2 linked regions of the Ovis aries genome follow. The protein of the gene in region 1 interacts with the protein of each later gene in a pairwise test. Links are inferred from orthologs where the notes say so. Each region holds a gene or a part of one and is shown in the gene's direction. Other genes may lie near its edges.

Region 1 (4,277 bases):
ACAGCACATCTCATTTCAAACGACTCATATTTCAAGTGCTCGGTAGCCAGGAGTAGCCAGTGACTAAGGACTTGAATAGTGCAGGCCTAGACTGAGAGCAACTTGAAAGCAAGCTATCCTCCTCTCTCCAGGGCCTCTAGAATAGACAGGAAGGGGATATTTTTGGAAGATATTCAGTACATCAGAAAGACAAAAAGGACTCTCTAAACCTCTGGATGCTGATACTTAAATGTTCTGCAGTCACTTTCTTTAAACTCTCCAGTTCTGGAAAAAGTGGAATGGGGATTATACTCATTTTGATATATCAAAGAAATGAGTATGTATGTATCCTGACTCCCAGAAAGCCTGAATCATCCAGAATGTTGACTCATGGGCCTAAGGTGACTGAAATACAATGTGAATCAAATTTGCCTTCCAAGGCATCCTTCTCTTTCCACTTTCCTCTCTCTCCTCCCTCTTTTGGGTGACTCATCCTTCTACCAGTTAAGTCCAGCAGCGTGCAGATCCCAAAGCCCTCTTTGAAGAAGTACAGACTCATCAAATGGTCTGTTCCAGTCAGTCCCTATATCGTCTAGCCTAGTTGTTTTGCCTACCTCATCCAGGGTCTGCAGTTAAGACTGGGAGTGACTTTAAACCTGTAAAAAATATTATTTTTTCTTTTAAGGTGGTGATGGTGATCCCCTTAAGGTGATAAGGTGGCTTGGGAATTTAAGTTTGAAAGAAAACAAATTTTCATTTCGAAATTTACAATTTAACGTTTGCTTCAATCCTTAGGGCCTACTCCACAGTACCGTTATTCATAACCTTCCTGCGCTCTGGGTTTTTTCCTTTCCTGGGAGGAAAGTTTCCACTCCCAGTCTCCAAGATAACGCCCTTCCGGTGGCGTGCCAGGAACGTCTCCGACCCCTCAGTGCTGGGAGGGAGTCGTTTCGTTTTCTCAGTGCTGTAAACACACAGACTCCAGCTTCGCCAGGGCCAAGACCAAGACCCCAGCCGGACCCGCAACTACCCTAGGCAGTCGGTGGGGTTCCCAGCTCCAAACCCCGCCCATCGAACCCACCCGAGCCGGTAAGAGAGAGGAAGTGCAGTGAGACCCACCCACTTTCGTCTTTTTCCTTTTCTGTTGGGCCGACTGGTTGCCCGTCAACTCTATTTCTTCGCCGATTGGCTCACTCCCTCCCGCGTTAGTGCCTCCCTCTCCCTGGCTGGGAGGGTGTCACGCCAAACTGGGCGGAGCGTCGGCTGGCCTCTCTCCTTCTCTCATCTGGGCGGCGGCGGCGGCAACTGGGGACGGGGCGGGTGGCGCATCACGGGCGCGGAGGCTGGAGGAGCAGTCTCATTGTTCCGGGAGCTGTCGCCACTGCAGGTCCCTCGGCTCGTTGGGCCCTGCCCCTCTCAGTCCTCCCCGCCCCCCACAACCGCCCGCGGCTCTGAGAAGAAGCTTCTCCGGCGGAGGCAGCAGCTGCAGCATCACCTCTGACCTGCCAGCCATGGAAGACATGGACCAGTCGCCTCTGGTCTCCTCGTCCTCGGACAGCCCGCCTCGGCCTCAGCCCGCATTCAAGTACCAGTTCGTAAAGGAGCCCGAGGACGAAGAGGAAGAGGAGGAGGAGGAAGACGAGGACGAGGACGAGGACCTGGAGGAGCTGGAGGTGCTAGAGAGGAAGCCCGCCGCCGCGCTGTCGGCGGCCCCGGTGGCCGCAGCCGCCGCCACCCCGGCTAGCGCGCCCCTGCTGGACTTCGGCAATGATTTCGTGCCCCCGGCGCCCAGGGGGCCACTGCCGGCCGCGCCTCTCGCCGCTCCGGAGCGGCAGCCGTCTTGGGACCCGAGCCCCGTGTCGTCGTCGGTGCCCGCGCCGTCCCCACCCTCCATTACAGCAGACTCGCACTCCAAGCTCTCTGAGGACGAGGGGCCTCCGGCCCGGCCTCCCCCTCCTCCACCGGCCGACGTGAGCCCTCAGGCCGAGCCCTCGTGGACCCCGGCTGCCCCAGCCCCCGCCGCGCCCCCCTCCACGCCGGCCGCGCCCAAACGCAGGGGCTCCTCGGGCTCAGTGGGTGAGTGCCGCGCCCTCCGCCTCGCGCCGCCCCTCGCGCCCCTCCCTCTTTTGTGCGCAGCCCCTAAAGCCTGGACCCTGCCCTTCTGTCCATCCGGAGGGGGCTTTGTCTGCAGATCTTTGGGCGAAGGCGCCCCCGCTGGTGGGAGCCGCGGGGAGCAGGGTGGGGCGGCAGAGGAAGCTCCGGCTTACTCTTTATTGTCCGTCTGGGTATCGGGGAGCACGTGCGCCCCGACCGCTCCCGGGTTGTTCTGTCTGCTCTCCATTCCACCGGGTCGGGGAAGTTAGGAACCCACCCCTTGCAGGAACTGGGTCTGTAATGAGGGAACTAGGGGTGTGGATTCATCGGGCTGCCTTGGTTCCGGGATGAGGATGGAAGGCCTTGGCGCCCTAATCTTTTGTCTGCCCAACTAGGTTGCTCCTGAGGAAAAGACGCAGTTTCTTGCTGGTCTTTGCCTGCATTCAGCCCTGGCCCCTCTCCTCACCCCTTCCTTGGCTTGGGTGGCCCCATGCTCTTCATCTCCCCCGCCCCGGCCCCGCGCTCGTGGGGAGCCGGTCCAGTGGAAAACGTCCACATTGACCTGACTGCAGTGAAGGGACAGCGCCTCCAGTGGTGTGACGCGTGGAGAATTGCGGAGCGGAGTTTCGGCGAGGTCCTGCCACCGCCCAGTTTACCCGGGTTGTGATGTGGCTATTTACCACCAGCTTAACGGCGCCGGGGAAATGGGACCTGGGCACCGTGTTCCAAGGGGGCGCAGTTCTGCCGGGAGCTCTGCCGCAGAAGGAGGGGAACAGTTGTTAGGATGCACAGGTTTAGTCTCAATGCATCGTAATTGAATCGTAGAGATAAAAGGAAAAGGCAAAATGGTTGACATTCCCAAAGAAGGGGAAACCTGTGGATTCCCTGGCGGGAAGAGGACAGTTGAACTTCTGGCAGATTTACCATGGGACTTCATGAAATGTTTTCAGACAGACGTTTTCATCTGTTGGTTAGAAATACTGTTTCGTAGAAGTAATATATTTTAGGGCTGCAGAGACAGATTTGCATTGTCCGTAAATAGTTTTCAAATCTTTTCATTTACCAGCACCTGATTGTTATTACTGTTATTAGGAAAAATTGTTTTATTATCCTTTTCATTTTGGGAGATTGTTTATTTTGGAAGAGAAAAAAGTTTGTTAGAGGTTGAGAATTCATCCTATTAGACACGTTAATTAACTTATTAACAAGTAGCTTGTTAGTTTGGGGACAGAAAGCGTCGCACTAGAAGTAGGACCTTTATGTGTAAATAGGCAAGGATCAAGAATCAGGTAGTGTAACAGTCTGGTGAGAAATTGTCATAGCCTTGTAGGATTTTAGAGCCGGTTGTTTTTCTAGAAAAAGATACTCAGTGGGAGATCATGGAAGAATTTTCTTTTCTTCGGCTCACTCCTGCACCACAAGGAAGAAAAATAAGTCAATAGTGATATCGACATACCCCACAGCATTACTCAAAACATTAATTACTACACTACAGATAATTAGAATGTGAGAAGTAACTCAAGTTTTCCTTTTTATGAGTGAAAACACATTTCGAGAAACTAAAGTAAGGTGGAAAAATATCAAGTAATAAGACATTTACAAATGATAAATTTAATGATTAAGAAAAGCAAACTGATTTTTCATATTGTATTCCTGTGTGGCAACAAAAGAGTTCTGTGCTTTGAACCTTGGAGAGTCAGGAGGTGACAGCATTCTTTCTGTATTTTGACTTTAGGAATACTAACTTTGGAAGACAAAGGAGAGAATGTTGAGTCACTTAGCGATTCTATCTTTACATGGCTCCCTAATTCTGTATTGATGTTGCCTATCTAGAAATTTTAGTTCCTTTAGGACATAAAGGAACACTGTGATTATGGTCAGATAGTTAAACCATGTCACTGAGTCTGGCTTTCTTAACAGTTCTTTCCTGCAGCTGGTTATTGATTTACCTACAGAGGCACTATTCTAGGCTAGGAAAATAGAGCAGTCAGCAAGACAGATGTGTTCCCCATGAGAGGAGTACCGATAATAAACACCTGATTAAGGAACTGAGACTAGTGTTAAGTGTTATGAGCAGCATAGGAAGGATGATGTGGAAAATTATTGAGATGTGTGGGAACCTTTTTACATAGGGTGGCACTGAGAAAGGCCTTTCTGAGGAGGTGAGATTTAAGCTGCAGATATAAAAAATTTCCAAGAAGCTC
Region 2 (2,934 bases), on another chromosome or scaffold:
TCATCACATACACCAGGCTCTTGAATTCAAGTCCTAGGGTGTCCCAAGATCTCTTCTGTCTTCTGCTTCATGAACAACACAGGAAGGGCTGTAGTCCAACTGGGCAGTGAAATGTCACCTTACCTTCCTATAAGGCCCCTGGGCTCCACATGGGGTCCCTCTGGTGGGGCTCTAGAGAGGCCCACCCTTCCCTCTCCAGGCCAGTGGTGTGCAGCGGTGGTTCCTAGTCCTGCACCTTCCCTTTAAAGGCCTTTTCATCCAAGGTTCACCAGATCGCTAGCCTTCTATTGTGGAATCTACAGAGGGAATCTTTGACCATCTCCTTGCCAGTCCTAGAGGATATATGAGCCCTTCTCTCTGGAATGTGTGAATACCTTCCACCCACTTCTTCCCATTTGAGATCTCAGCTCATACTGAAAGACTTGAAAAAGCCTGGAGGTTCTCTGGATCCATTATTCTAAGATTCCAAAGCTTGGAGCATTTCTACCCTTGACCTGGCATGCTTGGCCTAGCATCCTTCAATTAAACTTTGTGGAGGAAATTCTTGGATTTGTTGTAGTCGGGAGGGAAGTAGAACCAGTGACCTGTAGCTTGCAAATTAATGTTAATGATGACTCAGTGGTAAAATGTTAATAATGACTCACCTCAGTGCAGGAGACAGGGGACACCCGGATTGATCCCTGGGTCGGGAAGATCCCCTGGAGTAGGAAATGGCAACCCACTTCAGTATTCTTGCCTGGAAAATCCCATGGACAGAGGAGCCTGGCAAGCTACAGTCCATGGGGTCTCAAAAGAGACACAGCTGAAAATGCACACACACAAAGAAAGAATTAGGTTATGTTGTACACCTGAAACTTACATAAGGTCGTAAATCAACTATATCTCACTATAAACAAAGAATTAGGGAAGTAAGACTTTTTTTACAAAAGCACACAAACTCCACCAACCAAATAGATCACGGCTAGTGTGCTATGCACAAGTGGCTTTTGGATTGCTCAGGCACTGAGAAACCCAGGACAGGTTGGTGGGCCAGAGAGGTCTGGGGTTGGGCAGCAGGCCCAGGGAAAAAGAGGGCTGATCTGACCTGAGTCCTCCATATCTGATTACAGAAGGTGCAGGACCCAGTCCTACCCACATAGGGGAGCTGGCAGCATTGGAGGCAGAATCTGGAAGGCCGGACCAGGAACCCTGGGAGCCAGGCGGACAAGCAGAGGAGGACGACGAGGGAGGAGAGCCCACCCCTGCCTATCTGAGCCAAGCCACAGAACTCATCACCCAGGCCCTACGGGACGAGAAGGCAGGCGCCTACCCTGCTGCTTTGCAAGGCTACCGGGACGGTGTGCACATCCTGCTCCAGGGAGTTTCTGGTGAGCAAAACTTGAGGCTGGAGGGTCAGGCCTGGGATCCTGGATGGTACAGTGAAGGGAAAGAAAAGTGAAAAACAAGGATCAGAATTGCTCTTCACTGACCAATTGTGTGACCTTGGGCTGCTGCTTTATCTCTCGTGGCCTCAGTTTTCTTATTTGTAAAATGGGGAGCATATATCTGACTCCCAAGGAACAGGGAAAGACACATGGTGATGCTCTGTGGACAGTAAGGAGCTAGACCAGGGGTTCTGAATCCAGGTACCCGCTGAGCCATTCTGTCTTCCCAGGTGACCCATCACCTGCCCGCCGAGAGGGTGTGAAGAAGAAGGCAGCTGAGTACCTGAAGCGGGCAGAGGAAATCCTACACCTGCATCTGTCCTAACTCCCACCCCGAGATGGGAGTGGACCTGTTCCCAGGACTCTGGCTCCAGCACTGCCGGCCACCCTCTTCTCTCCCTGGTGCCTGATCTCCTGGTCCTGTAACTGGCCATTTCTATATGTAACTGGACCAGGAATGAGAAAAATAATGATTTCTCAGCTCCCTGACCACACCTGCCACTTTGGAATCAGGGACTCACATATCTGATCCTGCCTGTCTCTGTCTTGTTATGGGAGGCTGCAGCTCTGGTCCGTAAGCCATCTGTTTATCCATCTAGAACCGGGGTATGCAAACTACCGCCCACAGTCAGATATGCCCCACTGCCTTTTTTTGTAAGGCGCATGAACTAGAAGAGTTTTTACTTTTTAATAGGTGAAAAAAATCCAAAATAATAATATTCTGTGACAGGTGAAAATTATAATGAAACTTAAGTATCTAAAAAATAAAAGTTTATTGGAACACAACCAGGCTTTTTCATTTAGTGTTGTCGACCGTTGCTTTCTCACTACACCGGCAAGCCTGAGTGATTGGTTGTGACCTGTAAATCCAAGAATATCTACTATTTTGGCTCTTTGTAGAAAAAGTTTGCTGACCCCTGATCTAGAAAACAGGAAGAAGAGCCCTCAAGGAAACAGAAAAGAACGGCAGTAAGGCTGACTGAGTCAGGTTATCAGGTGAAGAGGAACCAAAGCGGGTGTCCCCACTTGGGTCGGGTGGTTCAGAGCTAAACAGTGACGGGATTAGAGGACAGGAGCCCGGGGAGGCGTGGCTCCACGCCTGCCCTGCCTCTCCTGCAAAGCGATTGGTTACGGAAGGGAACTATAACGCGGTGCATCATGGGAGTGGTCCGACTATGGCGGTGCACTGTGGTCGGGCTTTAGTGGGACCCGAACGTGAGGAACAGTGTTGGCGACGCTGAACTACAACGCAGAGGCTCTCGGGAGGCCTGCTCGGAGATCTGTGGGAAGCGACAGGACTCGGTGAGGACTGCGGCGGCCAGACGGGCGGGGGGAAGGTTCCGACCCGGGCGGGGAGGCGGGCCGGGAGGGGTTGGCCCCGCCTTCGCCAGCCTTGGCGTGCTCTCCTGCAGAATGGGGCGAGGGGCCGCCGCTGTCCGCTGGATGCTGAGCGCCCGTCCGTTCCCCCCAGCCCACCTATGCCCGGCTACGAGCTGCCCGTGGGCACGTG

What was found.
Region 2: the proteins of RTN4 (region 1) and SNX15 interact in binary tests that used the Homo sapiens proteins (3 or more experiments, as listed by UniProt). The two-hybrid records come from large-scale screens. The link is inferred for Ovis aries from reciprocal best matches to the Homo sapiens genes RTN4 and SNX15.

What each region holds. Positions count from the first base shown.
Region 1 is NC_056056.1:68,963,944-68,968,220, forward strand, and holds the start of RTN4 (reticulon-4), read left to right. Parts: upstream 1-1,280; 5' UTR 1,281-1,490; coding exon 1,491-2,055; intron 2,056-4,277. UniProt on the Homo sapiens protein: Required to induce the formation and stabilization of endoplasmic reticulum (ER) tubules. They regulate membrane morphogenesis in the ER by promoting tubular ER production.
Region 2 is NC_056074.1:39,704,376-39,707,309, forward strand, and holds the end of SNX15 (sorting nexin-15), read left to right. Parts: exon of another isoform or gene 1-62; intron 63-644; exon of another isoform or gene 645-863; intron 864-1,109; coding exon 1,110-1,367; intron 1,368-1,654; coding exon 1,655-1,749; 3' UTR 1,750-2,210; downstream 2,211-2,934. Other genes in the region: SAC3D1 (SAC3 domain-containing protein 1), read left to right, coding at 2,903-2,934. UniProt on the Homo sapiens protein: May be involved in several stages of intracellular trafficking. Overexpression of SNX15 disrupts the normal trafficking of proteins from the plasma membrane to recycling endosomes or the TGN.